4 linked regions of the Drosophila melanogaster genome follow. The protein of the gene in region 3 interacts with the protein of the main gene of each other region in a pairwise test. Each region holds a gene or a part of one and is shown on either strand. Other genes may lie near its edges. The genes, in order: Cpr64Ad, zld, CG31999 and RpL32.

Evidence for each region.
Region 1: the proteins of CG31999 (region 3) and Cpr64Ad interact in a two-hybrid assay, tested with the Drosophila melanogaster proteins (one large-scale study listed by BioGRID).
Region 2: the proteins of CG31999 (region 3) and zld interact in a two-hybrid assay, tested with the Drosophila melanogaster proteins (one large-scale study listed by BioGRID).
Region 4: the proteins of CG31999 (region 3) and RpL32 interact in a two-hybrid assay, tested with the Drosophila melanogaster proteins (one large-scale study listed by BioGRID).

Annotation. Positions count from the first base shown.
Region 1 is NT_037436.4:4,211,781-4,218,671, reverse strand, and holds Cpr64Ad (cuticular protein 64Ad), read right to left. Parts: upstream 3,294-6,891; 5' UTR 3,223-3,293; coding exon 3,208-3,222; intron 3,133-3,207; coding exon 2,404-3,132; 3' UTR 2,258-2,403; downstream 1-2,257. Other genes in the region: Cpr64Ac (cuticular protein 64Ac), read left to right, coding at 5,799-5,810, 5,873-6,427; CG43367 (uncharacterized protein), read right to left, coding at 1-308, 370-650, 708-1,015, 1,078-1,202, 1,267-1,435, 1,494-1,881, 1,945-2,088.
Region 2 is NC_004354.4:19,778,536-19,786,953, forward strand, and holds the start of zld (zelda), read right to left. Parts: upstream 5,014-8,418; 5' UTR 4,319-5,013; exon of another isoform or gene 3,974-4,318; 5' UTR 3,752-3,973; coding exon 1-3,751. UniProt on the Drosophila melanogaster protein: Transcription factor required for zygotic genome activation (ZGA), a critical event in early embryonic development during which the developmental control passes from maternally provided mRNAs to the expression of the zygotic genome after fertilization.
Region 3 is NC_004353.4:222,417-230,972, reverse strand, and holds the start of CG31999 (uncharacterized protein), read left to right. Parts: upstream 1-3,224; 5' UTR 3,225-3,297; intron 3,298-4,422; 5' UTR 4,423-5,138; coding exon 5,139-5,211; intron 5,212-6,533; coding exon 6,534-7,028; intron 7,029-7,086; coding exon 7,087-7,416; intron 7,417-7,960; coding exon 7,961-8,182; intron 8,183-8,236; coding exon 8,237-8,319; intron 8,320-8,374; coding exon 8,375-8,432; intron 8,433-8,556. Other genes in the region: yellow-h, read right to left, coding at 574-1,062, 1,402-2,068, 2,733-2,968.
Region 4 is NT_033777.3:30,042,174-30,048,998, forward strand, and holds RpL32 (ribosomal protein L32), read right to left. Parts: upstream 3,968-6,825; 5' UTR 3,749-3,967; coding exon 3,717-3,748; exon of another isoform or gene 3,689-3,716; intron 3,614-3,688; coding exon 3,514-3,613; intron 3,452-3,513; coding exon 3,140-3,451; 3' UTR 3,056-3,139; downstream 1-3,055. Other genes in the region: Sry-alpha (serendipity alpha), read left to right, coding at 1-681; Sry-delta (serendipity delta), read left to right, coding at 1,306-2,607; CG7943 (uncharacterized protein), read left to right, coding at 4,917-5,470, 5,534-5,663, 5,731-6,045; CG15528 (uncharacterized protein), read right to left, coding at 6,636-6,825.

The sequences.
Region 1 (6,891 bases), on a different chromosome or scaffold from region 3:
ATCCTTATCAAACGATAGCCACGAATTGCAGCCCAATATGGTGGACTTCGATATGCTGACTAGAACATCGGGACTCAGCTGCAGGAACGATCGCGGAGGACTTCGCGGTGGACTCAGGTACACAATGGGATCCTTGGGCGTGGACAGCTCGCAGTAGTACTGCACCACCTTGTCCAGGAACTGAGTAAGATCCGGCCTTCGGAGCTCAGCACGTACCAGCTTTAGAGCCGTCTCATCCTGAGTAAGGCGTCGTGGATGTGGCTCCCGCAGCAGCTGTGAAGGCACTTGGCCAAAGTTATTAATCATTCCTAATATAAATGAATGGATGTCAATAAAAATAGCAAAAAAAAAAGTCTTGGTGTAAGCCACCTTCAACCGCCTCCCGTTCTACAGGGTTGGTGATCTTGTCCAAATCCACAGCGCCTTCATAGGAGCAATAATAGAAAACGTTTAGAGCCTCAGCTGCCTTGGGTCCCTTTTGCTTATACCCAAAGATCAGATCAATCCAGTGGTGCAGATGCTGACTGACATACTCCGATTCCAAAGCCCGTCGGTGTATGGCTATGAACTCCTCCGGCGTGGTAGCCCAAGCAGGCAATATGACATCGTCCACCTTTTCTTTGGTTATTTGTAAGTGGCCCAAATCAAATCTGCACATAAAATAACATTAGGCTAACTAAGTAAAAGTAAAAAACCACATGCATTACTTATTCATGTTCTTAAGGAATTCTGGGAAGTAAAAGAACTCGGGGATCAGCTCCTTCACGTCATTGGGATTGTCCATTAGCAACTTCCACGTCTGAGGTATCGAGTGGAATTGTCGATCGGCCACATCGAAACGACCGCTCTGCAGATCAATGTGCAGCGAGGTGAACGGTTCGACGCGAAGCAAATAGTGGAGCACGCCGGCCGAGTTGGAGTAGTGGGTTCCGTAGTGAAACTTTGGTATGGCACCAGAGGGGTCCTCGAATGAATCATATTTGCCGCGCACTTCGGCCTCGTTTTTAGGATTTATCTGCGGTAGAAATGCGTTTGTCATGTAACTGATCACCTTTTTCTATTTTCAGTAATACTTACGCATCCAATGGGTTTGGATAGGTCACGGAACGATTTTGGATCGGTAAGATCCAGCACGTCACTGGTGTAATCAGCAAGGATCCAGGGGAAGACGGGGTATTGGCTTAGATCATTGTAGGATCGACCTAGTTATGTAAAATACGTTAGTTTGATAAAAATGTATGTAATAATCAGATGTTATTTGCTTACCTGCGATTGTGTTTAGGTACATCAAGTATTCAAAGTTGGAAATCTCACGATTGATCCATCTCTGTGTGAGTCCCGAGGCCCTAAGCAGCTCAGCCGGCGATCTTCCCGAGCCGTAGAGTATGTTTGGAAGCGGTAGACCCACGATTTTTGTGAAAACTTTATTTCGAGTCTTAAAGAAATAAGAACATTTGCAATGATCACATTTTATTTACAAAAAAAAAACTCACCTTCGTCGTAAAGTTGAGGAAGTAGCTAGTCTGATCCACCAGGAAGATTTCCAAAGCACTCCTGCGCAGATTGTACTTTCGCAGATGAACCTCACGTATCTTGTTGGTGGAGAACCTGAAATCGTATTTGGAACCATCCTCTGTTGGCGGGCTCAAGTCCACAAAGGTGAACACGCTCTGGTTAACCTCAATGCGTCCCTTCACCTTGGTCATCAGCGTGATCAGCTCACAGTCCTGTGACATGACTAGCTTCTCCAGCGCCACATCCTGTTGCGCTTGCGTGTCGATCAGTTGACGTAGTTCCTCCTCCAGCTGGGAACTTTCGTCATCCGCCAGGAAATCGCGCACCACGGCATTCTTGATGGTGGAGTCAAATTCAGAGATTTCCCTAAGATAAAGGATATTGAAAATCAGATTATGAAGGACACTACTAAGGACTGGCTGGGCTTACTTGGTGTCGTAGGCACTGGTCGCATTGTCGCGCAGATTGGCGGCATTCTCGTGTTTATTTGGATATAACTGAGGCTCCAATTTCAGACGCATCCTGGCCACGTTCTCATGTTGCGAAAGCTTCCAGAACTCTTCATCCACTTCCCTAAAAAGAACACCAAGTTTTAAGTGTAATCCTTAAAATATAAAGAATGATACATATAAATATTACCTATAAATATTAAAGCTAAAATACTTAAATAATTTTCTTAAGCCTCTATATGATATCACTCTCGTAATCCAGGATGCCTTTAAACAATAAACTACAATCTTTTGTTTTCAGAATTTCTTTAATTTTGGGTTTTTGCGATGAAAGTTATTCAATAGCTCGACAATGATTAATCGAATATGTACAGATGAAAGTCCTTTGTCGAATTGCGGTCAATACTTCCTTTACGACTCCTACTTCTCCTCCTTCTACTTAGGCGACGATGGGAGCGGCCAGGGTCTTGGCGAAGACTGGAGCGGGGGCAGCAGCCACAACTGGAGCCACTGGAGCAGCCACGGTCTTGGCCAAAACTGGAGCCACTGGGGCAACAGCCACGGGCACATCCTTCTGCACCACTGCGTTGAAACCGTTGATGGAGTCGGCGTAGTAGCTGACAATACGACGGGAACCATCGGGCTCGATCAGAGAGTAGGATCCACGGACGACATCACCATCACGAGTCTCCTCCTGGGTCTTGGAGTCACCGGTTAGCGTATCCTGGACATCGTAGGCGAACTTGTACTGTGGGTGGGCATCCACGATCTCGGTGGCGATGGGAGCAGCAACTGGAGCAGCCAGGGGAGCAGCAACTGGAGCAGCCAGGGGAGCGGCTACTGGAGCAACTGGGGCAGCGAGAGGAGCGGCGACTGGGGCAGCCAGGCGAGCAGCAACTGGGGCAACTGGAGCAGCGAAGGGAGCGGCGAAAGGAGCGGCAGCGTAGGTCTTGGACACCAGGGGAGCAGGTCCCGCCACCAGAGGGGCGTTGTATCCCAAAGGAGCCGCGTAGCCCAGAGGGGCGGAGTACGCAGCCGGGGCGAAGTATGGAGCAGGTCCCAGAGGGGCGGAGTAAGCCAGAGGAGCACCCAGAGGAGCGGCGGCCAGAGGAGCGCCAACCAGACCAGCCTGAGCCGAGAGGGCCATCGAGGAAAGGACTGCAACAACCTGTGAGGAAAATGCATGGAGTCCAGTTTAGTCTCCTGACCTGACGGGTTCACCGAAGCCATCACCAACACTTACCGTCAGAGGATTCATTGTAAGGCTTGGGTGGGGGTTTAGTGCGATTGTCACCGTCGGTTATCGAAAATGAACTGACATACCTTGGACAAAAAAACCACGACTTTTATACCCAGATGCGTTCGCGAAATTTGCATGCGGTGCTCCGTGGAGGGAACTGCGTACCAATTGCGTATGGTAGCCCATTGTCCGAGCTCCTTGCCCCCCGCATCATCACCATCGCCGCTTTTTGGGGCCGCCTCTTCCTACCCAGCATTTGGCTGCGTCTGCGTCTCGGGCTTTGATCCAAATTCGCAGCACGTACTCCAATTTTCAGTCGTCTTGCGGTGGCTACACCAAGTTTTCATTTTTATTTGCCACTGTTTTTGCCTTGTTCGGATCGAAAGTGAATGCGATTTGATTATATTTCGGAGCAGTAGTTTTCGGTAATTGTCATGCAGGTTCCATCCAATGACAGTGCTTTTAATTTTCCTTTACACCAAAAGCGCGAAACTTATAATTAAGTTACCATAATGACGTCGAGTTGACAAGGGTTCAAGCTCAAAAACTTAATATTAATATATCTCTGGGATAAAAAAGTATCTTTAGAGTGTAATGATCCTGATTTTGATGTACTACTTGAATTGGTTGTCTCAAATAAATTGGAAAGTTTCTTATACACCTTATTGGGTATCAATTACTTATGCTAATGAGTTACCACTTATACATAATAAGGGTTTTCACAAGGGGTTCGGTTTCACTTAACAAGGTGAAACTGGGTCAATGTGGCCCAGTAATATCGATTAGACTAATATATATACTATATACCCATATATTACTATTGTAAATCTATTGAAAGATTATCAACATTTGATACATCAATTATATTGATATTATTCTAATAAATGGCCATGCATTTGGTTTATGTTTCCATAAGGAGATTTTTAGTTCCTCCCCTAAACGACTTTGCTGAAAAGGATAAATCTTATTTTAAATTTAACATGCTTTCCTAACAAATATCTTCAGTAACAACAAGAATCTCTGGTCTTTTGGAATTTGCCTAACTCCATGGTTGATTAAAGATTCCCCATCGATTTCGTGCTGTAACTGGTGGCTGGTTTTGAGTTCGTGACTCTTTTCCTAAATGCAACCAACGACCTTGCGACTCGTTGGCTGCGGATTCACCTCGGAGAGACGCTGAGCGATCCGGAGAAGCGGAGAGAGCCCCAAAAGTTGGCACCAAATGGTGGTATTACTCGTCGGGTTGTGGTAGCTGACTAACGGTTGTCGGCGTAGATTGTCGCCACCGGAAACCAGCATGGATATACAGTCGTCCAATTTGGCCAAAGCGAATGGAATGCTCCACTGCCATTTATGCAGTTCCTTGCCCAATCGCTTGACTCTGCTCTGAGATGAGAATTAATTAAAAGTGGATGAAATACTAACCACAGCCACTTAGCTGCCAATTGTGAGCAAGGTCGCCGCGGTTAGAGCTTCCAAATGCCGGCTAAATGCTTTTTGGCCCGATCGAGGCAATTACGGTGGCTAAGTGACCGGGCTCAGCAATGTGGGCGCTGGTCCAGTTGGTCAGGTGGAAATCGGATCGTCGAGGGGTTAATGCGTGTGCCAGTGCGTAATTGCGCCTGCGTCCCGCCCAATTCCATTCCCTCCACCAAGCCGTCGAAACTTGCCATTTTCGTTTTCTAATTAAACGAGTGGCTGCGAACGATTGATCTTGTTTTTATACCCTGCACTTTGGGTGGGCACATTGGACATGTATGTTACTATGAAGATTACTCGCACGTCACGCAAACCAAGCGAAATTTGCTTGCGTTTGGACAACATGGCGTGTGAGTGATAATCGGCATAACTTAACAGCAGGCATTTCAATTACATATTCAAATATTGATTGAAGTATGTTCGCCAAATGAGTGTTTACATATCCAATTGTAATCTTGGTTTCATACATTTTCAGAAAATTGAGAGTAAATACATATTTTCATTAGGTCTTTGATGATATTAAAGATTTTTCTTGAAAGGGTACCTACAATCGCTAAAAAAGCACTGTCACTGTTCTTGTGGCAACTGCAACTGAAACTGCCACAATATGAGGCACTTATTACATCAGACAAATTTTGGCTGGAGAACCTGAGAATGTGCCAAAAAACGGCGAAAAAATGAAACCAGATCGGCCAGCGAGTCAGCGGAAAACGAGTCTGGTGTTGCTGGTAGCTGACTAGCTGGGTATCTTGGAGCGGCGCTCTTGAACGGACTCAAATGGACTTCGGTGAGTGGTGTGCCTCGGCAGCGGCGGCTGCAGTTATTCCATTGAGAAAAGCCAGCACCAATGATGAAATCCGCACCAGAAACACGAAATCCGCCATCAGCGATGAGGTCTGGGGTGCAAGATCGAGATCGAGATCGGGCAGCCACCAAATGAGACGCAATTGTCACTCTGCCCATTAGATTGTCCAGTTTTTTTTTCCGCTGGCAGCTGCCGCCAGTTTCGAATATAAAACTGAAGACCACGCGGAAAATGCATCTCACATTTGAGCTGAGTTCTCGCAGTGCAGACACATCCAAACCAGAGCTCCCTCATTCTCACATCCTTCGCCATGATTGCCCAGGTGAGTTGGCCAAAGGAGTGCAGCTTTTAGTTGGCTCAACTGATCATGGAATTCCTCGCCAGACTCTGTTCGTTTTGGGACTGATCCTGTCCGCCGTTGTGGCCATTCCCATTGATCCCTATGGACTTTCGGCCCCTGGACTCACCTATGCGGCTCCCAAGTTGCTTGCTGCTCCTGCCATTTCCTATGCTGCTCCCAAACTCCTGGCGGCTCCTGCCATCTCGTATGCCGCTCCTGCCATCTCCTATGCTCCCAAGGTCCTGGCTGCCCCCGTCGCTGTGGCCAAGGTGGCTGTTGCCGAGCCCTACGATCCCAATCCGCAGTACAGCTTCTCGTACGGAGTAACCGATCATCACACCGGTGACTCCAAGCAGCAGGAGGAGACCCTGGTCAACGGAGTCGTCCACGGCAGCTACTCCCTGGCCGAACCCGATGGCACTATTCGCAAGGTCACCTACACCGCCGACAAGGTCAACGGATTCAATGCGGTCGTGGAGAAGAAGGGCGTGGCCGCGGTGGCCATTGCCAAGCCAGCTCTTGCCGTCGCCGCCGTTCCCGCCATCACCAAGATTGGATACGCTTCGGCGCCTGGTCTGAGTCTGGGTGGATACCACTAGGCGATGAACCGGTGGACCAAGCGATGACAAACTCCATGGCCTAGTTGTAGGACCGTTGTTAAATAGTTCTAATGCATTTACCCACTTTTCTGTCAGTCAAAACCCGAAACACAAGGACGTGCGTGCTGTTGCCACCCCGCTGTTGACCCACATTCCCAATCTCCGATCGAAGGATCGCCACCATAGACTACGTTTAGGGATACCGTTCTGGGGATCTGGGGAACGGCTATCGGCCACTTAGTGAATTAGTAACTGCATTTACTGAATAAAAGTTTCGGTACAAAAAAAAAGATTGAATGAATTGTTATTAGTTGTTCGATGGAACTGATCGGTTGGAAGTGATATTCGAAAAGTTGAAATATTTCTAGGAATGCTCCACATTCCCCTGCTTAACCCAGTTAAACATTGGGGTAGGTCCCGAGCTTCGAGTTAAAGCTCCCAATCTTAGATTCCGATCACGTAGT
Region 2 (8,418 bases), on a different chromosome or scaffold from region 3:
ACTGCTCCATCTCATAGTCCTGATGGTGCTGCATCAGCGTGGCCATATCCATCTCCAGTGCGGGAGTCGCCCGCGAGCTGCTCACTGTGGGCGAGTAGGGCGTGGAGAGCACAGTCAGCGTTGGCGTCTGCGCCTCCTGCTGCCCGCCCTGCTGATGGGCATGCAGGGCCGTCGTGAGTGTGTGAACCGGCGGCAGATCGCCCTCCTGCGGCGATCGCTGGGCGGCCACCGAGTACGGCGAGAGCGGTGCATATGGCGCGAACAGGGATGTTGGCATCAGCTGCAGGATCTGGCCATCGCTGGTGGTGATCTGATTGCTATAGCCACCGCCGGCCGTTCCGGTATGCGCCTCCGGGCCACTACCAATAATAGTGTGATAGCTCATTGTGGGGTCCAGCGGCTGCAGCTGCTGGTAGCATTGCGGCGGCGGCGGCATGATGGGCATGTGCATGGTGGGCGGCATGGGCATGGTGCTGGTGATGTGCGGCGGCGGCGGCTGCAGCGGCAGCAGCTGCGGCGCTGTGATGGTGGTGAGCGGCATGGGCATGGTGGGCGGTGGGGAGCTGCTGGTGGGCGAACTGCTGCTGTGCGGCAAACTGTCCGCCAGGATTAACGCCTGCTGCTGCTGCTGCTGCTGATCCAGTTGGTGAAGCTCCCGCTGCTGCTGATGATGATCCGCCTCCTGGCGCTGGTGCTGCTCCCCCAGCTGCTGATGGAGCGGGTGGAGCACCGCCTGGTAGTGGTGCACCAGCTGCTGCTGCGGCGGCTGCATAGTGTCCGGCATACTGGTGGTGATGGTAGTAGCTAGCGGCGTGGTGCTGGTGCTGCTGCACTGCAGCATATTGCTGTGCATGAGCGTGGGCATGGGCATGGGCATATCCAAAGCCAGCATGTTGTAGTCCATTGCCATAGGCGGCAGCATTCCCATAGGCGGCAGCGGCTGCGGCGGCGGGGTGGTGCGCGAGAAATCCGTTCCCTGCTGCTCCTGCCGGTAGATAGTATGGGGCGAGTTGCTGCTGGGCGTGCTGGGATTGGTGTTGCTGCTGCTGAGCGTGTTGGGCGTGCTGCTGTGGTAATGACGCGCCGACAGCAGATACTGCTGCGACGCCTGTTGATGCTGATGCAGGTGATCGTCCGCCTGCTCCTGATCCCGCAGCTCCTGCTCCTCCGCCTCCTCCGTGGCCATTGAGCTGCTGCTGCTGCTGCTGTGGCTCCTGTCCTGGCTGTGACTGTGATTGGGATGCGTGTGTGTGTGGGTGTGAGTGTGGTTGCTGTCCTCCATTTGCTCGCTCTTTATAGCTACCGTGGTGGCCGCCGTTGTTGTTGTTGTTGCTGTTGTTGTGATTTGTGGTGCTCGGGTTGTTGTTGTTGGTGGCGGCGTGGTTGTTGTTTCGTTCAGCAGGCCCCTCATTTGGGAGGACGGCATTTGGGTGGTGTTGTTGTTGTGTGGGGCGGAGGGACCTGCTAGCCCGTTTGGGTGACCGTTCAAAACGGAGTTGTGGTGCTGCGGCATCTGCTGCTGATGGTGCTGCTGCTGTTGTTGCTGCTGCTGCTGGTTGTTGCTGTTGTTGTTGGAAGCGTGCTGTGGTGAAGCGTTTGTCGTGGATTGCACTTGTTGCTGCATGTAGCCATAGCCGTTGGCGGTGCCATTAGCATAGCCGTTGGCCTGCTGCTGATGGTGGTTGAGGTGGTGCTGCTGCTGCTGTGTGGGCGAGGGTGAGGCCGAGTACTGGGACATGGCAGCGCCGCCCATCGCTCCCACGCCCAAGCCGCCTCCTCCGCCATAATCGGGCGGACTTCTAGGCGGCTCCGGGGGTGGCACATTGGCCGGCGGCGGCGGTATCGGCGGCTGTTGCTGCTGACCCTGACCGCTGGCCGAGGCGGCAGCTGCAGCGGCGGCCGCAGCGGCTGCGGCATTGCCCCTGCGACTGGGCTTCGTCACCGGGTCGCGGGCGGGATGGTGGTGCGCCGAGATGGGCAGGGTGGCTGGATCCGGCTGGCCGCTCGACTTAACCGCATTCTTGTGCAGCGTCGTATTGTAGTGGCGCTTAAGATGGCCCGAGCTGGTGAACCACTTGTTGCAGGCCGTGCAGTTGTACGTTTTCGGACGGCGCGCCTCGTTCGACTTCCAGGTGGCCGCCTTGGCCGTCAGGCTGTTGGCCGGCAGCACGGAGCTCGAGCTGGGTGGCTCGAAACCGCGGTATCCACCTCCTGGCGCCGCACCCGCCGCTCCCTCCTGCCCTGGTCCGCCCGTAGTGGTGCTGGGGAACTCCGCCGGACTGGTGGCCACGCTGGCGCACAGTTCCGCGCCACCAGCTCCGCCAGCTGTGGGATCGAAGGACTTGTCCACGTAATGCTGCGAATCGGGATACTCGGACTTGATCAGTCCGTGGCCGCCGTACTCCTGCTTGATCAGCGTGGCTCCGCCAACGCCGGTTGACTGATGATAGGGTGACTGCTTTGGTGAGTAGTAGGGCGACTTGTCCACACCGACTCCCAGCCCCACGCCCAATCCCTGCTGCATGTAGGGTGGCAGGCCCTCCACGGAGGCCACCGTCTGCTGTGGCTGCTGCTCCCAGCTGTGGAGTGCGCGCTGCTGCATAGATTGCATCGAGTGCAGCGGATCCGGCAGAGCGCCCAGCGGCAGTCCAGCGACCACGTCGTGTTGCTGTTGTTGCTGCTGGAGCAGCTGCTGGTGATAGACCATCTTCTGGGAATCTAGGTCGAGTAATTCGCCGGGATTGGCCGTTGCGGATCCAACGCCGGGTGGCTGTGGTGTGGGCATCTCCTCCTTGATGTACGGTGAACTGGCGTAACCGCTGCTGCCGTACGGCGACTCTCCGTGCACGTTGGCGATGTGCTCCTGTAGCTCCGACTCGTTGGTGGTGAGGATGCCGCACTTCTTGCACTGCAACTTGCATCCGGCACTTCCGGCGGCTCCGCCTGGTGAGCCTGGTGTCTGGCCACTGGAGCTGCCCAGCTGCAGGTGCGAGGACGTCGACGTTGGACTGCTGCTGCTAACCACACGCGGACTCATGGCCACCGCTGTGGTGGTGCTGACCGCGCTGGGCGCACTGCCCGCCTCCTCCTGTGCCGAGCTGGCCGTTGGAATGCCTCCCAGTCCGGAGGTTGGCGTCTGCAGGTAGGGATGATAGCGAACACCGGCGCTCTTGCCATAGTCAACGCCCACGGTGCCAAAGGCGTAATCAGTGCCCTGCTGCTGCTGCTGTTGCTGCTGGTAGAACTGCTCGTAGCTGTTGATGTAGCTGCTGGCGTAACCCTGCTGCTGCTGCATGTCCCCGCCGTAGAGTCCGCCGTAGATCTGCTGCTGTTGTTGCTGCTGTCCGCCAGATGCGGAGTACATGTGGTGGGTGGCGTACGGCTGGTGGGTGATACCCGTTACCTGCTGCTGCTGTTGCTGCTGCTGGGGATCTCCTCCACCCATGGCCTGCTGCTGCTGCTGTTGCGATTGTGGCTGCTGCAACTGTTGCTGCGTCGATTGCTGCTGTTGCGTGGGCTGCGGCGTGCCGGGTTGATTATCACTGGAGTCGGCGGCGGCGCTAATTGTGGCATTGGGTGTGGCGGGCGCACTGCCTACGCCTCCCGTTCCTCCCGCTCCTGGTCCGCCCGATCCTCCTCCACCTCCTCCTCCTCCTCCTCCTGCTCCTCCCCCACCACTGTCTGTAGCACTGCTGGAGGCGAGCGCCTCTGCCGCGTGCAGGGGCGGCATCTCGGTCTTAATGCTCGTCATGGACCGCTACATAAGTCGATGCTTGGTGGCTGCTCGGTGTTTCGCTTCTCATGTCTCGAGCTCTCCGGGATCAGTGGTGCATCCTCTGCTCCTGCTGCTACGCTGCTTGCTTTTCGTTGGCTCTGCTGAGCCGATCGTTTTTGTTTTGGGTTTTTATGTTATATGCTCTCGTTTCGTTTTATTTTTTTGTGATTTTTTGTTTTTTTGTGCTTTGTATTTGTACTGAAAATAAGCCAATTATTGTTTAAGCCATTATTAGTTTGAAGTTACTTGAGTTGCAAACGGAAAAAAAACAAACACATGCACACTGTGTTTTCAAAGCTTTTGGTGTCTAACGGTTCTTGGTGTCCATTTCACTTCGATGCGAAATTGCAGGCACTTTTGTAATTTGATTTGTATGGTGGAAATACAATAGCTTTTACTTGCGAACGTAATGTCAACTGCAATTGTTTGTGGAGAGCACACATGGACGCTCACGACGCACACTAACACACACACTCGAAAAAAATATATACATGAAGGATCCTCGATGAAGATCCCTTTTCCGTTCTCTTTTGCTTTTCTTACTTATCTGCGCCTCGCTTTGGGCACTTCTTCGTTGGACTTGGACTTCTGCTTCGCTCCTTCTTCTTCTGCTCCGCTCCTCCTCCTTCTTCTCTTTCACCGCTCCTCTTCGGCGAAACGAAAGACACACAACAGCAGACTCGATAAATAATACGAAACTGAACTGAACTGAACTGAAGAAACCAATATCGGAACCGCAACGAATGCTGGTCAATTTTGAATTTCGAATTTTGTTTTTGCGAATTGCGAGGGAAGCGAGAATGGCGATGCGATGTGATCACACTCTCCCTATCTCTCTCTCTCTCTCTTTCTTGCTCTCTCTCGCCACTTTTTTTTTTACCGGTGATTTAGAGTTTTTCGGTTTGGGTTCGCTTTTCGCTTCGCCCTTTTCCAAAAGATCACTGGAATTCGCGTTTATCGTTTATCGGGGATCGGATCGAACAGAAAAAAATTGTTTACGAACACAAGTATTGCATCGGAATTAAATTTGTTGTTGATTCCCGAGCCGCGATTAGTTCGTTTAGTTTGTTTTTCAATTGGTTTGCCGAAAAGTTGTTGCCAAAAATGTTGCGTTTTGTGAGTGGGGAAAATGAAACAAAAAAGGGCGCTAAAAGTAGCCGCTCCACTCCGTTCGCACGCTTCGTCGCTTTTTCACCCGTGTCCTTCTGTCTGCTACGGCGTTCCAAATACAAATGACCGACAAATACACCGCCGTGCATGCGGCACATTCGTTCTACCCGTTCTGCCGGCAGCGACGCCGGCTGCGACTGTGGCTGCGGCGTCGCAGTCGACGCACATGCGTGGCTGTGTGTGTGTGTGCGCTATATACACTGCGCGGCGGCGTTTCGGTTATGTGCGTGCTGTCTCTGTCGCGCACGGCTGCCGTCAACGCCGCTGCATTTGATTTTGCTTTGCTTTTGGTTTTGCCTTTGCTTTGCGCTGCCTTTACTTTGCAATACCCTTTGCATTGAGAGTACCACAAGTTAGCTCGGAATCAAGATAAAGTATCCCATGCATAATTAGCATTAGTTGAGACCTAAGTTTTGCAATCTGTTTAGATCGAACTAATAAATCCTCTCGAAGACATGTACATAAACGATTAGTCGCAATTTGAATGCTTATATTTTTATGCCTTGAATGGCATTATTAGTGAAAACTGATGTTTAATATACATATATACATATGTTTTATAATGCACACATATATACATACGTTTTATAATGCACACAAATTTGAATCCTTTTTTGCAAGCCATCACAATTTTCCACAGAAAATTGCTGAACGGTTATAAAAAAGTAATTTAAGTAAGGTCATTGATAACCGGTTTTGCACTTAACAATCCGTAGAATTTGGATGGATCGCAATTGTAAAGTGTATTTGTAATAATACACAACTTCTGCATTGCCTTTCTAGCAGCAAATCAATAGCTTTGATCGTGTTAAAATGATTTTCCACTGTTTATTTATGAAATTATTTCGCTGTATTTGCGTTTCTGGATATATACAGCGAACTGCATATATTTAAGCCGCCCTAGGCACTAAAAATTTTATATGAAATTGTTTTCTTTAGGATGGTTGGATTTCGAAATGTTTATTCCGATCTCTAGCTTAAAACTCTGGCAGTTCGTAGAAGTCATCTACGCTATGAAGAACTTACCATATAAATAAATGTTTATGTACTCTATTGTAATAGCAAAATTTAGCTTAAGTGGCGATAATGTGGATTTTTCAAGAACACAGCGAAGATTGGTTGGCCCTTTTGTGTGATCCACCGATTACCATATCGCAACTCGCCTAATTTAAAGCTGTGTTGCAGTTCTAGGCTTGGTTGCTCAGTTGTGCCCGTTTTTTTTTTTTTAGCCTTGGTACGAACGGCGGCTTATTAATAGACTCCTCGAAGCGTCTTAGTCAGATGTTGACTCACTGGACCGGGCCAAAACCAATTCGCACTACTAGCCTAGTTTCTGAGCGACCGGCAACCGACGATTATCGACGTCACGGGCCTCGTAAAAGTTGAGAACGTTCAAAAAATTAATAAACCAAACTTTTATTGCGTTGGGCATACGGGAGTGCAGAGCTGAGAGACAACGAAAGCTAATCTACATTTAAAAAGAAAGGAAAAAATCGTAAGCTAGGACTAACGGATACCCTGTTATCAGATTCTGTCATAAGATCATAAGCTCACTAGAGAAACTTTTTTAAATAGAAGACTAGAAGAAGACTAAGCATGTAAGTAAGTATGCATAAGTATGTATGTACATATATATTCCAAAGATGCAGGCGATCTTTCGTCTTTCGAATGGGTATGCTTTTTCCAATCTACGATTAAGGGGTATAAATAGCGACAGAAAGGGTTTGAATCTGTTGGTAACTATGGGGTTTCAAGTTGTTTTAGGTTTTATTTTTTTTTTTTTTTTTTGCTGGGCAACTGGAGCTGGGAATCAAGCTCAGCTGAGAATGGCCCAAAAGTATTTAAAAATTTCGTAAGAGAAAAGGCGAGGGCTAATGGAGCCCAGATACGAGTACCTCCATCGCAGCCACACAGATACGAACTCCACTGTGCGGCTGTGTGCGTGGGGCCTTGAGGAAGAGTTTAGATTGGAGTAGGGCCGGAGGAGGGAGCGAGAGAAGGCGAGAGTGAGGCGGCGGAGAAGAGTGCGACAGAGAGGCCTGAAATTTACATACATGATTGTCATAAAAAATCAGCAAGCAAATTGTCAAATCCCTAAACTGACAATAAAACAATAAAGCAAACGACGAAGACGAAGACGCGGGCGAGACGGACGACGAATGTGGGTGGAAGTGTGGAGAAGAAGGCGAAGAAGAAGGAGGAGGAGGAGGAGGATGGGGCAATGCGAGGGAGGGAGAAAACGATTGGCGAGTTGAGTGATTGGCAGTGAAAACCGGCTGCAAATCCCGAGATCTGATATTCCACATATGTATATGTATGTACATATCTCACGGATAGTTAAACTCCGTTAGGAGATATCTATGAAACCAATTTGTTGGTTAAAAATATATTTTTATTCAGTATATTTAGTATACATTCATACACTTATGTATATCGTCACTATTCGACGATCTGCTGTACATTTTCTTTGTATTTCTTTGATTGCACAGTTTATTTAGTGATTAAAAAATGTATTAAGCCTAGTTAAAAAAGCCTACTAACCATTTCTTAATTATCATTAATTTAATATTGAGATAAACCCCACAATTTCCATTGATTCCCTAATCGGTAATTAACTTATATATGCATATGTTCATACTTATGTACATATGTACATATGTTATAGAGAATTATGGACATGTAGAAATTGTTAGCATATGTTGCCTGCGGTGGCAGGTGGCAAAATGGCTGGAGGGGAGAGCATTGCTGCAAAAGCTGATGCAACTGTTGCAGCTGATGCAGTCGACTGCAATGGGATTAGCCCATTTTATGGCGCATTTATGGGCACGCAACAGTTGACCTGCAGTGGCAAAAGTTGCAGAACTTCCAGGCAGGTCATCTGCCCCTCCAGGTCTGCAGATACAGATACATGGTAGCAATTAATTATACCCTGTAATCGGATGTAATAACCACGAAGTACCAGAAAGCGACACTTGTCACATAACCTTGGAGTGGGTTAGATATTTTTCTATACATTGAAGTTTAATCCTTTGAAATGAGAAATATAGTGAGAGATCGTCTTCAATCATGTTTCACAATTATCGTTATATTTTGTAGCATATTACGTCGTATCACAGTGACGATTACATTACCAACTTAATTAATTAAAAATAATAATGCTCATAGTATTTTCTTAGTCTGGTGCCTCATCACGTTGAAATAACGTTAGAAAAGAGCGTAGAGTACCTGAATTTTGACCTACCACCTGCGGAATAGGATTTGCCATCCCTGCCACTTGAGCAATTCTACGCAGAGTCTCTGCGCCACATGCCTCCATACTCGGATCTCGATCCTCGATATCCAACCGGGTAATTGCAAGGTGCGTGCATCGATATGTCTCTGCTATATCGGCAGATTTATACGGACGGACGAATGGACAGACGAACGGACAGACGAACGGACAGATAGACAGACGGCCGGAGAAGGGAGGGTGG
Region 3 (8,556 bases):
TCAAACCACTTTCAGAGGAAACTAATGACGATAACACGAACTTGAAGATACAATAGAAGAAAGAACACGCTCCCTACCTGTTACTTCTTACAATTGGATATAACCTTTCACAGTACGACTAAAAAATATAAATATATTACAAACAATTGTATACACGTTTGAATTTGAACCCTAATATTCATTCGTTGAAAACTAGAATGGCGGAGGGAAGAACTGCTGACCCATAAAGAATATACTTCGAATATTCGAGCAGAATCGCAAGCCAAGTTGATCTAGCAATGTACGTCCATTTTAATTTCGTGATCTTTAAAATTTTAAAAGCTAGAAAGCTAATTTTAGATACGTATGTTCTTAAAAGTCCGATCTTATGCCAATTTGGAACTCGTACACGTTTAAAAACTGTTATTCTTTTAGTCAATTTAGTTAATTGCTTGGACACAACAAAGCGCAAAAATCTGTTAGACCCAAACCTTCAAAAAAGGTACTAGAGTATCATTTGTAACGGACGCAAATACCAAGGTTGTTCAAAAATTTACAACATTTTGTTGTGTAATTGTTTATTTACCATAGTTTTCAAAAACACTGTCCTTCTTCTATCAACACAAAAGCTGACTTTGATGTATTAATATAACTATTATCCGGATTGCAAACACTATTGCGAATAATCTTATTTACATTCGCCTTTAAAATTCGAAAATTTACTTCTCCATAATCTAGATTGCTGTATAGAAAAATTGGTAGTCGGTTACTTATAAGCCATACATTTTGATCTTTTTCTTTGTCTACTTTTAAATCATTTGGAAATTGAATAAGATTTGAGTTTTCCATATTATGAAATTTTCCCAAATGTGCTCGAGTGTATGGTTTCGATGTATCCCAGCATCCAATATCATCTTGATGAACTTGTGTAAAAAACATAATGCCATTCCTTGTAACTCCTGATGTAGATGATTGAGAATTATATCCGCGGTCTCCAATTGGTATGAAGTACTTGGCGTACTCTTGAGTATTCGTTTGCCACACAGATTCGTTTAACAAGATATTCATAGGCACCATGAACTCCTAAATGAGAAAGTATTATAATCACAATTATTATTATTATTATATCAGTTACTCGTAGAGTATAAGGGATTGCTAGTTTGGTTAATAAAAATAAAACAGAAATAAGCCTTTTCGGACCCTACAAGCTGCAGATAATTAGCTTACTTAAGATTTAGATTTATTTAAGTACCTTAAGTAAGACTGATCAAGTAGTAAGCTGTAGGAGGGGTTTTTAAAAGTAAGTCGGCGAGCCATTATTTAGACAATAAAGACAATGTTAAGAAAGGCATTTTTTAAAATCAATATCAAATCAATTCCCAGCCATTTTCTTGTCTTTATTTATATACTCCTTATACTCACCTTGAAACTTGCCATTGGATGAAAATAAAGAACGCGTTCCATTATTTTCTTATTGTAATATATACTCATTCCAAAAACACCATCCAGCCATTGAAAATTTAATCCGTATACATTAAAATCCGAAGCAAAGGGATCCGGATAAAAGTTATAGTTGGTCACGCGCCAGCTGCGGTTTTTTGATAGGCTGTAAACAAGTAGACCAAATCTCCATACATCCGATACGATAGCATGCGCATCATCGCAATCTTCTCCAATATCCACAACAATATTGGAGTGCAACGAATCTTGCTTCACATGAGAAGCTTCCAAATTGTATCGAACAATCAGTTCGTCACTTTTAAGATCATACACAACAATTTTTGGTGGGCAGATCTGATTTAAGTTTATTGTAGCATTGACAATTCCAGAATCAATTAGCCAAATTCGATCACACCTATCTACAGCTGTTCGATAAACTGACATCAGTTTTGAGCAGTCAGGATTGTTTGGATTTCCATGAGCCTCCCAGTTTGGATACGGCTTTATTGCCGGGCTTGACTCTTTTGGAGGAAAGGGCAGTGTACCTAAGCTAGCAGGCACACCATTCTTCCAACGAGGAGTTGTCACAAACAGGCGGTTATTATGGACATCAATGCCTAAAGGTAAATTATTTTTTGGTACAAAGTCTCTGTAAATATTAATATATTATAATAATTAGACAGTAAATTCAGCGCAGTAGAATAACACATAAAGCCAGATTATGATAATCCTTTATGTAACAGTCTGTAACAGCCAGAAGGAAGCGTTTCTGACCATGTTCTATATGGTCATATACAATATTCTTTATAAGGATCAATAGCCAAGTCGAACTGGCCATGTACGTCGATCTTTATTTGCATTTGCATTTTCCCTAGCTGTGTAACGGGATTCTGATAGTCGGGGATCTCGACTATAGCATTAGAGATAATGCTAGGATTTATTCATCAATATTAAAGATATGGATGAGACGCACTGAATGATTCGAATGAAAAGAAAGTATTTATAAGAACTAGTCTCCTATAGTTTTCGAGATAAGATATTAATTTGTTAATTTTTTTTCGCATTCGCAGTTCCACGAGCTGATTAACGGATATCTGATAGTCGGGGATCTCGACTATTTGTGACATAAGAGCGTCAAATAGTTTATTTTTCGAATTTTCTTTTATACCTCTCACAATACAAGCATTTTAAATTTATTAAAGGCGTATTTTTTGATTTTTTTACTAGTACTACAATTTGTTATTAATATTAATACATTTTTCAAATTATCTCTTGATTTGTAAGAAACTGTTATAACCAAATTGTTTTGTTACCCATTTAAAATAGATTGTTGGCGTTGCACAAAAGTTGAGTATAGGAAATCCAAATATTTCCATTCATAAACGATCTCCAGTTGACTTTCACTCTGTAAGTTTTGCGAAAACGACTGCGAAGTATATTCATAGCCATCAAGTGTTTGGAAAACTGGTTGAACACTTAAGTTTCCATTTAAAGTCTTCGATAAAAAAACTAACTGTGTAATTATATTAAAGATAGTCATAGACTGCATCCTAGCTGAATATTAAATAAATAATTCTCAAAAATGTACTCTATGGAATCAATCGACCAGATCTACCAACGTTTAAAGACTGATTTAATGTATGTATGTTTAAAATATCTTTTACATGCTTGTTGATGCAGATCAGAGCTTTTTTGTAAGGTATTGTGACAACGCTTAAGCTTTGTTTTAAAGCTTTTTCAACTATGTAGGTATGTATCTATCTATGTGTTGTCTTGATCTCCACCAGCCGAAATTGTTTGAATTTGTTCTTTTGTTTCGCATTTCATTCAAACGTGTAGCCTTAATTTCACTATCGGACCTGTCCCAAATTTTAATCGGTATTGAGTTTTACGAGTTTTTTCTAAACTAACCATGAGCAATATAATCCTCAGTATTAACAAAAATTTTAACTTTCATCAATTTTTTCAAATGGTTTTGATTGATCAAGAAAATTTGTATTATATTCAATATCTCAATCTATTTGCTGGCAAAAACAGCTATTATTTCAATTCCATCAAATGATTTATATAAATAAGTTTTAAAAAAATAAATAAATATTGTTTTAAAGAGTGTTGAATGAATTCAAATGTTGACATCAGATCCTTGCATGTAGATTGTTCGATCGTCACTTTTTTTCACATCTTTAAGAGTTGGTTTGGTTTGATGGGTAATAGGGGTAAATAGTCTGCGCCAAAAAAAAGTATATATATTTGTATGTATATATATTTACATATAAGCCACCATTTCCGACCCTATAAGTAAACACTTACATATATATGTATGTTGTTGATCTAGATTGCTAGCCGATTTTAAGCTCTTTGCCCCCGTCGGTCATCGTTTATCTGTGTATAGTTATTATAAAACGTAGGTATGTATGTATAATAAAATATAAAATATAATAAAAAATTCAAATTTTAAAGAGCGGACAAAACGACGGTCACAGTTAAGCAGGTATGGTTGTACCAAAGACACTAGAATAGTGTCTAGACACTAAAATAGTGTCTTTGGTTTTACCGAGATATACATACAGTTTGTCAAGAAACTGTTTGCACACTGTGAAATAAGTTGAATTTTTGGCTTTAATGGTAAAAATTAAGAGTTATTTGCTTAATTAAACGGAATTTTTTTATGAAATTTAATTAAACAATATTTATTATACTAATAAATCAAAAAACAAATTAAAATATTAAATATACAAGTCAAGAAACTCTACACATTTTGTTTTCGTACTTTGTCTTGTTTTTTTTCTTAGAACTAACTCGATTTTTCCGTGGTTTTTGGTTGGTTTGGTTTTTCCGTGGTTGGTTTTTGTATTGCATTTTTACGCTTCTATTGAAATTTTTTGACTTTGCTTGTGAAATTTTGCTGATCGAACGTGCTTAAAGTAAATTATTAAATTTGATAAAATGCCTGGAAAGAGATTAATTGTTTAAGTTACCCAATTAATAAACTATAACCACCAGTTGGGAAAATCTATTCCAGAATTAGTAGAAATGTTTTCTGTATCCCGTACGACCGTCTACAATGTTTTAAATCGCACGGAAAAAGAGGAGAGGCTTGAACCTAAGAGTCGGTTGGCGCACAACCAAAATTATCAAGCGCGTAGACCGCATTATTATACGAATAGTGATTGCGAACCCCCGAATCTCGGTCAGAGCACTTGCTCAGGATGCCAGAGAAGAATGTGACCAAATTGAATGAACATATGTATGTATGTATATTGATCATATCTTAAACGTTTTCTGCTACCTTTACCTAGTTTCAATAATTCACATTGCTCCAATTCACAAAACCTGGGATTAGCAAATAAAAGTGTGTTTAATAAGAAAATATAACAGCAGGTCGTCGAACAATAAACATATTTATGTACGTAAATACATGTAACGTATAGCGTAGGCTTATATACATACATATGTACATACATATGTCAACAGCTTGCTTTGGCCCACACGCGTTTCAGTCTTAAATCCTCTTCGTTCTAAAATTATATATTTGCTATACATACATACAAGCATATACAAACATGCATGTGTGCGCTGCTAAGTGACTGAGATAATTCCAGATAGCGTATGCACATGAGCGTTCTTTATTTTCTCATTCATTGCCTGACCTGTTCATTTAAAGCTCCCATCTTTATATTAATTTTATTTTTTACCCGGATTTGATTTCTGAACCCGTTATGTTTTATAAACTATGTGCTTTTATGTGTTTCTTGATAGTTGGAGGGCATGTCACCACCACAATGGCCAGTGGTAAGTAATGTGTAGTATACTTGCTTATATGTCAATAGATATGAATATTTATATATGTACCTGCCTACTGAAACCGCCCATTGTATATTTTGGGCAAATCTTTAAAATTGTATTAGGTTAGTTATAAAGTTATTAAGTTATAAAGTTATAAAGTTATAAAGTTATTAAGTTATTAAGTTATTAAGTTATTAAGTTATTAAGTTATTAAGTTATTAAGTTATTAAGTTATTAAGTTATTAAGTTATTAAGTTATTAAGTTATTAAGTTATTAAGTTATTAAGTTATTAAGTTATTAAGTTATTAAGTTATTAAGTTATTAAGTTATTAAGTTATTAAGTTATTAAGTTATTAAGTTATTAAGTTATTAAGTTATTAAGTTATTAAGTTATTAAGTTATTAAGTTATTAAGTTATTAAGTTATTAAGTTATTAAGTTATTAAGTTATTAAGTTATTAAGTTATTAAGTTATTAAGTTATTAAGTTATTAAGTTATTAAGTTATTAAGTTATTAAGTTATTAAGTTATTAAGTTATTAAGTTATAAAGTTATAAAGTTATAAAGTTATAAAGTTATAAAGTTATTAAGTTATAAAGTTATTAAGTTATTAAGTTATTAAGTTATTAAGTTATTAAGTTATAAAGTTATAAAGTTATAAAGTTATAAAGTTATAAAGTTATTAAGTTATTAAGTTATTAAGTTATTAAGTTATTAAGTTATTAAGTTATTAAGTTATTAAGTTATTAAGTTATTAAGTTATTAAGTTATTAAGTTATTAAGTTATTAAGTTATTAAGTTATTAAGTTATTAAGTTATTAAGTTATTAAGTTATTAAGTTATTAAGTTATTAAGTTATTAAGTTATTAAGTTATTAAGTTATTAAGTTATTAAGTTATTAAGTTATTAAGTTATTAAGTTATTAAGTTATTAAGTTATTAAGTTATTAAGTTGTTAAGTTATTAAGTTATTAAGTTATTAAGTTATTAAGTTATTAAGTTATTAAGTTATTAAGTTATTAAGTTATTAAGTTATTAAGTTATTAAGTTATTAAGTTATTAAGTTATTAAGTTATTAAGTTATTAAGTTATTATGTTATAAGGCTTTAAAATTATTACCACACTAAGGTATTTAGATTTCGGATATGAAATTGATAAATGACGAAAAAGAATGCTAGCCTCGGGCAAGGGACATCACCATATGGACTCATGTGTTGATACTGACTAAGAATACTTATAGAGTTGAAACCTTTTGATTTTTACCAATATATACTCTGGCTTAAAATATCCTGTGATCAAGCGAAAGTGAAAGTTTTATTTTGTTTTAAGACAGCATATCGGGTTATATACGAAAATGCTGTATAAATGGACTTCGACATGCTCGTACGACCGCCTCTTGCAAAAAAATCGACATAGCCCCAACAATAATCCCGCAGCTCTGGCTTGGACTTTGTCATTCTACACTTGAAGTCTGCTGTTCTCGAGAACTGGACCATCAAGATTGCGAGCTAGGTCGACTGGCTGCTTTAGACGGTACTCGCTGTGACGGAGAAGGAAATGTAACATCTAGCTCCTATGCGACATGTTGTCGTTCTTGTCAAATCGGATTAGCAGTTAAAGCGAGTAAAGCCAATTGCAAAGATCCATTATTTTCATTTATTTTCTTAATTGAATCATACCGAGCGTGCTGTTACGGATCTGCTGACTTTAAAGACCAGCCCGGTATCGACGAAATCGATAAGGCTAATTCTATTACTGATGAAGGTGAATTGCCGTTTGTTTCTGAAGAGGATATGAATGTAACTATTGTTCTTACCGGCGATGGTAAGTATATCTTATTTGTGTATCATTTGAAATCATAATTAATTGTACTCATTGGTAGATGACATATGTGGAAAAATTGAAAACCTTTGCGCTCACATATGCGAAAACACTTTCGACGCATACCAATGTAAGTGCCACCCCGGGTTTATGTTAGATAATAACAACGTAACATGCTCTCCGATGAAAACCCAAATATGTCCCAGCGGTTACAATTTAGATAAACTGGATAACAAATGCATTGACATTGATGAATGCCGGGAAGATCTTCATGACTGCAAATCATCCCAATATTGCCATAATACGAATGGCGGATACCACTGCTTAAATGTGAAAGAAAAAGAGTGTCCACCAGGATTTCATTATGACCATGATTACGATGCATGTAAAGGTAATTTTAAAAACTGTTTGAAATACAGATAAAACTAGATAGTCTAGACTAAACTGGACTATCAGTTTTACTCTGCTAGGATGGGTAATGGGATATTTTAAAATTAAAATTTATACAATAAACACATTCCATCCACAAATGTGCTGCCAATTTGGGCAGCTTTCGGCCGTGGGCGTGGCTTAAACTTTTTTGGCATATGTATTTAAAAGACTAACAATTAAATAACAAAAATGACAACGTTTCCTAAAAGTGTCGGGTGTTCCAGTTTTGGCGGTTTGCGGGCGTGAAATAAAGAGCACACCCCTGTAACATATTTTTCAATATGTCGTGTATGCCCTTTATCTCTGCGAGTACAGGTATAAGCTATGAATCGGTTCGGATATCTGAAAGTTTAAAAAACTTATATATAGCATTTTTAAATTGTATTATTTTAGTTTTTAATCAGTCTTAATCCGGTATCTGAAAATTAAAAATCCGATCTATAGCATTCCTTTAATCTTATTATTTTAGCTTTTTTAATTTGAAGTGCGTTCTATTCACTTAGATGATTACAAATGCAAAGATCGTAAATGCGTTAAAATTCAATCTTGTGATAAAGGATTCAGCTTGCATAACGGTACCTGTTCCGATATTGACGAGTGCTCACATAAATCATTAAACAACTGTCATGTCAATAGTAATCAGGAATGTGTTAACACAGTGGGAAGTTATTCCTGCAATTGCCTGCCTGGATTTAATTTGGATGCTACACTAAATAAGTGTGTTGGTAAGTACGTTTTTTCAGTAAAATAAGGATTGTTATTTATTTTGACTTCCATAGATATAAATGAATGTTCAATAAATAATCACAACTGCCTTCCAACTCAGAGATGTGATAACACGATCGGATCATATATATGCACGGTATATTAATCTGTATACAACATGTTGCTTTTGTTACAACCTGTATTCTATATAGCGCCTACAAAGCTGCGGAACAGGCTATACCTTAAATGCAGAAACGGGGAATTGTGACGGTAAGAGACCTTGTTAAAAAATATTATTTATACACTAGTGGGCATAAGTATTTGTACAAGAAATATATTCAATATATTTCTTTATAACTCATTGTATACTTAAACCAAAATTGTTTAATAATTT
Region 4 (6,825 bases), on a different chromosome or scaffold from region 3:
TGCCTGGCCTCACTGGAATCCCTGGATGCGTGCATTGTGCCCGCTCTCCAGCTGCCAGAGTCCACTTCATCCGCACACCACGCGGAGGTCTTGCAGGAGCATTTTAACCAGGAGCTGCTGATCTTTAGGAACGTCATCCACGAAATCATCGATAGCTGCTCCCTGATCAACAACTACCTGGACATGCTGGGCGAGAGGATCCACGTACAGGACAAAAGCCATCTGAAGCTGATTGTCCAGAGGGGCGGAGTGGTGGTGGATCACTTTCGGCTGCCCGTCAATTACTCGGGACTCAGTGAAGATGGCAAGCGGGTGCACAAGGACCTCATTCTGATCCTGCGCGAGTGCCAGGCCGTGGTCAACCTGGACGTCCCAGTGGATCCCAAGCGCATCGTGAAGCGCCTTAAGATACTGTACTCCGTGCTGGCCAAGCTGAGGGACTTGATATGCAGGGATAATCTGGAGCCCGATTCCTCAGTTGCTTCCGAAGCTCAAGTGCCCTCAAGTGCAACCCGAACTTTTGTGCGGAGCAGTCGATCCTTTGGCAAACGGCATCGATCCTTTGTAAAACAAACCGGAAATTGCTCAGTTTTCGGGCCACAGGACTCACTTGCTGAATCCGGACACAGCGAAAGCGATCTTATTAGTTTCCAAATCACTGAGATTCTTAGGTTAGATTGAGTGGGGCGAGCCATATTCTAAATACGCGGGCTTATCTGTATGAGATTTTTTTTAATACTTCATTGGCTTGAAGTGCTTAATTAAGATTAAACATATCCTTACAAAGATTCTAATTAGCTACCTAAGTCAATTGTGTTCTTTACACTTATGTAATTACTTCATTAAGTTGAAGCCATTCGCATAATTTATATAAAATACAATTAAAACATACCATTATAAAAAAATTATATAATTCAATTCAATTTTTTCAGGGAATCAATAAATTAAATGCTACTCGTTTTCATAACTAAAGAAACCAACACCACCATAATAATCAACAACAAATTATGTATTTATGCAAATTGAATATCCGTTTGCAATATTGAGCAAACACATATTTTTATTATTCAACTCATATATTTCAGTTTTCACACCCTGTTCCATTCCCACCGTTCCGTTCCTGGCATCAATCGGCATCGTTCGCCAGCCCTGGTGGGCATTATGCCATGGTTGCATTTCACGCATTTTAGTATAGCTTCCGATATTCATCATTTTGCCAACTCTATTAAATTTCATACACAATTTAAAAGATTGTAAACAAACGCCGCACGAAACGGAATCGCTAAAAGGACCATCGTCGGCGCAATGGATACTTGCTTCTTCTGCGGCGCCGTCGATCTGAGCGACACGGGCTCCTCCAGCTCCATGCGCTACGAGACGCTGTCGGCCAAGGTGCCGTCGTCGCAGAAAACAGTGTCCCTGGTGCTCACCCACCTGGCCAACTGCATCCAGACGCAGCTGGACCTGAAGCCCGGCGCCCGGCTGTGCCCGCGCTGCTTTCAGGAGCTCTCCGACTACGACACGATCATGGTGAACCTGATGACCACCCAGAAGAGGCTGACGACCCAGCTAAAGGGCGCTCTAAAGTCCGAGTTCGAGGTGCCGGAGTCCGGCGAGGACATACTCGTGGAGGAGGTGGAGATACCCCAAAGCGATGTCGAGACAGACGCCGATGCCGAGGCGGACGCCCTGTTCGTGGAGCTGGTCAAGGATCAGGAGGAGTCCGACACGGAGATAAAGAGAGAGTTCGTGGACGAGGAGGAGGAGGAGGACGACGACGACGACGACGAGTTCATCTGCGAGGACGTGGATGTGGGCGACTCCGAGGCCCTGTATGGCAAGTCCTCCGATGGCGAGGACAGGCCGACGAAGAAGCGCGTCAAGCAGGAGTGCACTACCTGCGGCAAGGTGTACAACTCCTGGTATCAACTGCAGAAGCACATCAGCGAGGAGCACTCCAAGCAGCCCAACCACATCTGCCCCATCTGCGGGGTGATCCGGCGCGACGAGGAGTACTTGGAGCTGCACATGAATCTGCACGAGGGCAAGACGGAAAAGCAATGCCGCTACTGCCCCAAGAGCTTCTCGCGCCCGGTGAACACCCTGCGCCACATGCGCATGCACTGGGACAAGAAGAAGTACCAGTGCGAGAAGTGCGGCCTGAGGTTCTCCCAGGACAACCTACTCTACAACCACCGGCTGCGCCACGAGGCTGAGGAGAACCCCATCATATGCAGCATCTGCAATGTGTCGTTCAAGTCGCGCAAGACCTTCAACCATCACACGCTCATTCACAAGGAGAACCGCCCAAGACACTACTGCTCCGTCTGCCCCAAGTCCTTCACCGAGCGCTACACCCTCAAGATGCACATGAAGACCCACGAGGGCGACGTCGTTTACGGGGTTCGCGAGGAGGCGCCCGCCGACGAGCAGCAGGTGGTGGAGGAGCTGCATGTGGACGTCGACGAATCGGAGGCGGCCGTCACCGTCATCATGTCCGACAACGATGAGAACAGCGGCTTCTGTCTCATTTGCAATACCAACTTCGAGAACAAGAAGGAGCTCGAACACCACTTGCAATTTGATCACGACGTGGTCTTGAAATAAGCTACATTGCCTACAATAAGTAATTGTTTATCTTTCCCTAGTGTATTTCCTCCTCTTTGTACTTGATTATTGTAGATTCCTACAAAATATAATTTACTGGTATTTCAATTACTGCGTTTCATTTAGACAGAAGCATTTCCGATAATAATTGTACACTGTTCTGTAAAAATAATTGCGAATATATATATGATTTCATATAAACAACCTCTTTCAATACTAAGGGGGAAAAATGTAAAATATATAACAAAATTCCCTGATAAGGATTGATGCTGTCTAGTTTTGGCACGTCAAGGAATTTATATTGGTCTAATATCTCGAGGCAGTTGCTATCAGAAAGAAAGACCGCAATGGTCTGGATTAACTGATATCCATCCAGATAATGCACATGTTATCAATGGTGCTGCTATCCCAATCTCAGAAATGACAATTGAACTCGGCACTCGCACATCATTTTTTAACTAAAAGTCCGGTATATTAACGTTTACAAATGTGTATTCCGACCACGTTACAAGAACTCTCAAGAATCTTAAGCTTACTCGTTCTCTTGAGAACGCAGGCGACCGTTGGGGTTGGTGAGGCGGACCGACAGCTGCTTGGCGCGCTCGACAATCTCCTTGCGCTTCTTGGAGGAGACGCCGTGGGCGATCTCGCCGCAGTAAACGCGGTTCTGCATGAGCAGGACCTCCAGCTCGCGCACGTTGTGCACCAGGAACTTCTTGAATCCGGTGGGCAGCATGTGGCGGGTGCGCTTGTTCGATCCGTAACCGATGTTGGGCATCAGATACTGTCCCTTGAAGCGGCGACGCACTCTGTTGTCGATACCCTTGGGCTTGCGCCATTTGTGCTGCAAGGAGACATGTTGATTAAACACGGGTACAATTTGGCACAATCCTCGTTGGCACTCACCGACAGCTTAGCATATCGATCCGACTGGTGGCGGATGAAGTGCTTGGTGCGCTTCTTCACGATCTTGGGCCTGTATGCTGGGCGGATGGTCATCTTGAAGCTGGAAGGACACAACAAAAGTAGCCATTAGTGCACTGACCCACTGGAAATATCACTTATCAAGCTAATAACACACAAGGTGTCCCACTAATGCATAATTCAACCAGGTTGGGCTAGCTTCTTGGGCAGTATCCATTGAGTTTCCGGTGTGTCGCCCCACGAATTCCCATCACAAACAGAAGCCATTTGGCGAACTCTCACAGGAATCGATCCGAATTCGGTCGAAATACGAGCCGCACACTTGCGAACAGCGCACGGACTAACGCAGTTCAACTCGAAACCGCCAAAAACGACAATTACGGCTTAAAATTAATGGAAATACACGTGGGCCCAAAATCACGCACATACCTTGCCGGAAACCAGAAGCGAAAAGAAAAAGCTGGTGGTGTGAAAAAACATCGATACGTCGTGCGTCGATGATTCGCCGATAGTTTCGTTCATGGCGATGCCAAGCGATATATTGCGGATCATCGTGTAATGAATTTAAACTTGGGCGCGTCAAATAAGGTGTTGCAGGTTTAATCACTATCCGAGCAACTGCGACGATTGCAACTATGTGCAACAAAATATGGAACTATTTTCAGCTTGGTGGAGTTTGTTATATAATTAAATATGCTTTGCCTCTTGACCCACTGTGCAGTGTGAACATATTTCATTTACACACTGGATGCAACAGCTGTTCAATAGATGTTTTGCAGCACCGTCATCTGATAAAAAACGATAAGAAAGCTGGGAATGAAAAAGTAAAAAGCTGACAGAAGCGATCAAGGAGCAGGTGTTCCCGAGGTTTAGGAGGCTAATACAAAAGCATCCAAGTCGTGGATTTAGAGCACCCAATGCATACCAGCACATGATAAGTTTCTGATCCATAGGGTGGTCTTTGCGTCAGTGGAACAAGTACACAGGGTGATTCGGTCAAAATAAAGTGACAGTGCTGTTAAACGCACTGCTAAGAATATTTTAATTATACGGTGTTATATTAAGTTTGTAAATTACCGAAAAGGGCGAGTACAAAACTCAAAGCCGCCGCTGCTAATTTAAGTTCGACAATTAATTTTGGTTGGCTTGTGAACAATTTGGATAACAGAGTCCTTTGGTATGCAGCAGAGGTCCAGCGACGGTCACACTGGCCGTGGCCGTCAAACCGTGGTTCTTCTTCATTATTATATAATTAAAACCGATGCGAATCGAAACCAAAACAAACCAAACCAGCGCAATCCCCGTGTTTGAATAGTTACAATGGTAACGCGGTGACAAATGCGCACTTCTCCACACGCCCGAAATAAACACAGGACAGCAGCAAGATGAAAGACGATGGAGCACCAAACGTCGCGAAAACCACCGACCCACCGCCCCCTAAAAGGTTTCCATCCGGAAGAGCACACAGCCCACATGGAGACGGGGAGGCGGGGAAACTGCTGCATGGCAGCGTCTTCTCGAAGCGCTTCTTCGGCTCCTTTCAGTGGGAGGAGTTCGCCTGCGGCTGCGGAGCAGCCTTCGTCAACATCGCGGTCACCTATCCCATCTACAAGATGATCTTCCGTCAGATGCTGCACGGCGTGCCCATCACCTCGGCCTTTGCACAGCTGCGTCACGAGGGACTGGGCTTCCTGTACCGCGGCATGCTGCCGCCGCTCGCCCAGAAGACCATATCCCTGTCCATCATGTTCGGTGTGTTCGACGGGACGAGGAGGTACCTCGTGGAGGACTACCGCCTGAACGACTACGGGGCCAAGGTGCTAGCGGCCGTGGTGGCCGGCAGCGCCGAGTCCATCCTCCTGCCCTTCGAACGGGTGCAAACCCTCCTCGCGGACTCCAAGTTCCACCAGCACTTCTCCAACACACAAAACGCATTCAGGTGAGCTGACGGATCTTTAAGTTTGCTAATGGGATCTTCTTATGGCTTTTAATCATTCCACAGGTATGTGGTTTCCCACCACGGCTACCGGGAGCTCTACAGGGGACTCGAACCAGTATTTTGGCGCAACGGCCTGTCCAACGCGTTATTTTTCGTACTGCGAGAAGAGGCCAGCGTCCGGCTGCCTAAGAGAGTGAGTGTTGACCCTATCACACATACGAACCTACTAAGATACTAACCAATCCGTTGCCCATCCACAGAAATCCGTATCCACTCGAACAGTGCAGGAGTTCATAGCGGGCGCCGTGATCGGTGCGAGCATAAGCACAATATTCTACCCGCTCAATGTGATCAAGGTGTCGCTGCAGAGTGAGATGGGCCAGAGGTCTGAGGGCAGCTGGCAGGCGTGCAAGCGAATTTACGTAGAGCGCGATCGCCGCATTGGCAACTTCTATCGCGGATGCCCCTTCAACACAGGCCGCTCCTTCATCAGCTGGGGCATCATGAATACGGCGTACGAAAACCTAAAGAAACTAATGCAGCAGCAGCCGCCGTTGCCACTGGCCTCTGAGTAGAACTAGAGTTAACTTAGCTGATTGTACACAAACGGTTACTTCTGCCTTTAGCTAGCCAATTATTTCGTTCGATTTAAGTCTCGCCTAAGTCGCTTGTGCACAGATGCTGAATTCTAGGTGTTAATGTACATACACGCATCCCAAGCGGAGGTCGCCTGCTCCTCCTACTCATATCTGTATATCTGTATACCTGTAGATCTATTCAATTCGCCTCGCGGATGCCAAGTACAATACAACGTGAGCATTTAAAGGTACCCAATCTTCGAGTTACGGTTTAGTTAGCTACTTTTCGTGTACGTGTAAATAATACTAGATGATGTGCGATATAATACGAGTGTGTTGTTTGTGTTCGCCAATAACTTTGTGATTGATTGAAGATACTACAACTGATTAATTAACGCGGTAGATTCAATGTTCTTAAACGAAAATAAAAGTGTATTTGTAATTACGAACGAGGCTTAAGCGTACATCTTATGTAAGTTTCAGCATTTCATTTCATTATCATTAAGCACACACAACTTAAACATCTAATCTAAGGCTAGTGGTAGGGTACGAGTATCACAAGTAAGATTAATTGCGGCACAACGGGCCTATCGCCTCTTGAGGGAGCTGCGGTAGCGCTGGTAGAAGTCCTCCATGGCCCTGTACTCGGGCTCCAGTATGTCGGGGATCTCCTTGTCCAGCGAGGCGAAGTACACCATGGCCACCGAGCTGCTGCCCCGCAGCTGTTGCTCGTACCGTCGCAGCTGCTGGAAGAATCCGGAGTTCGGGCGAACCTGC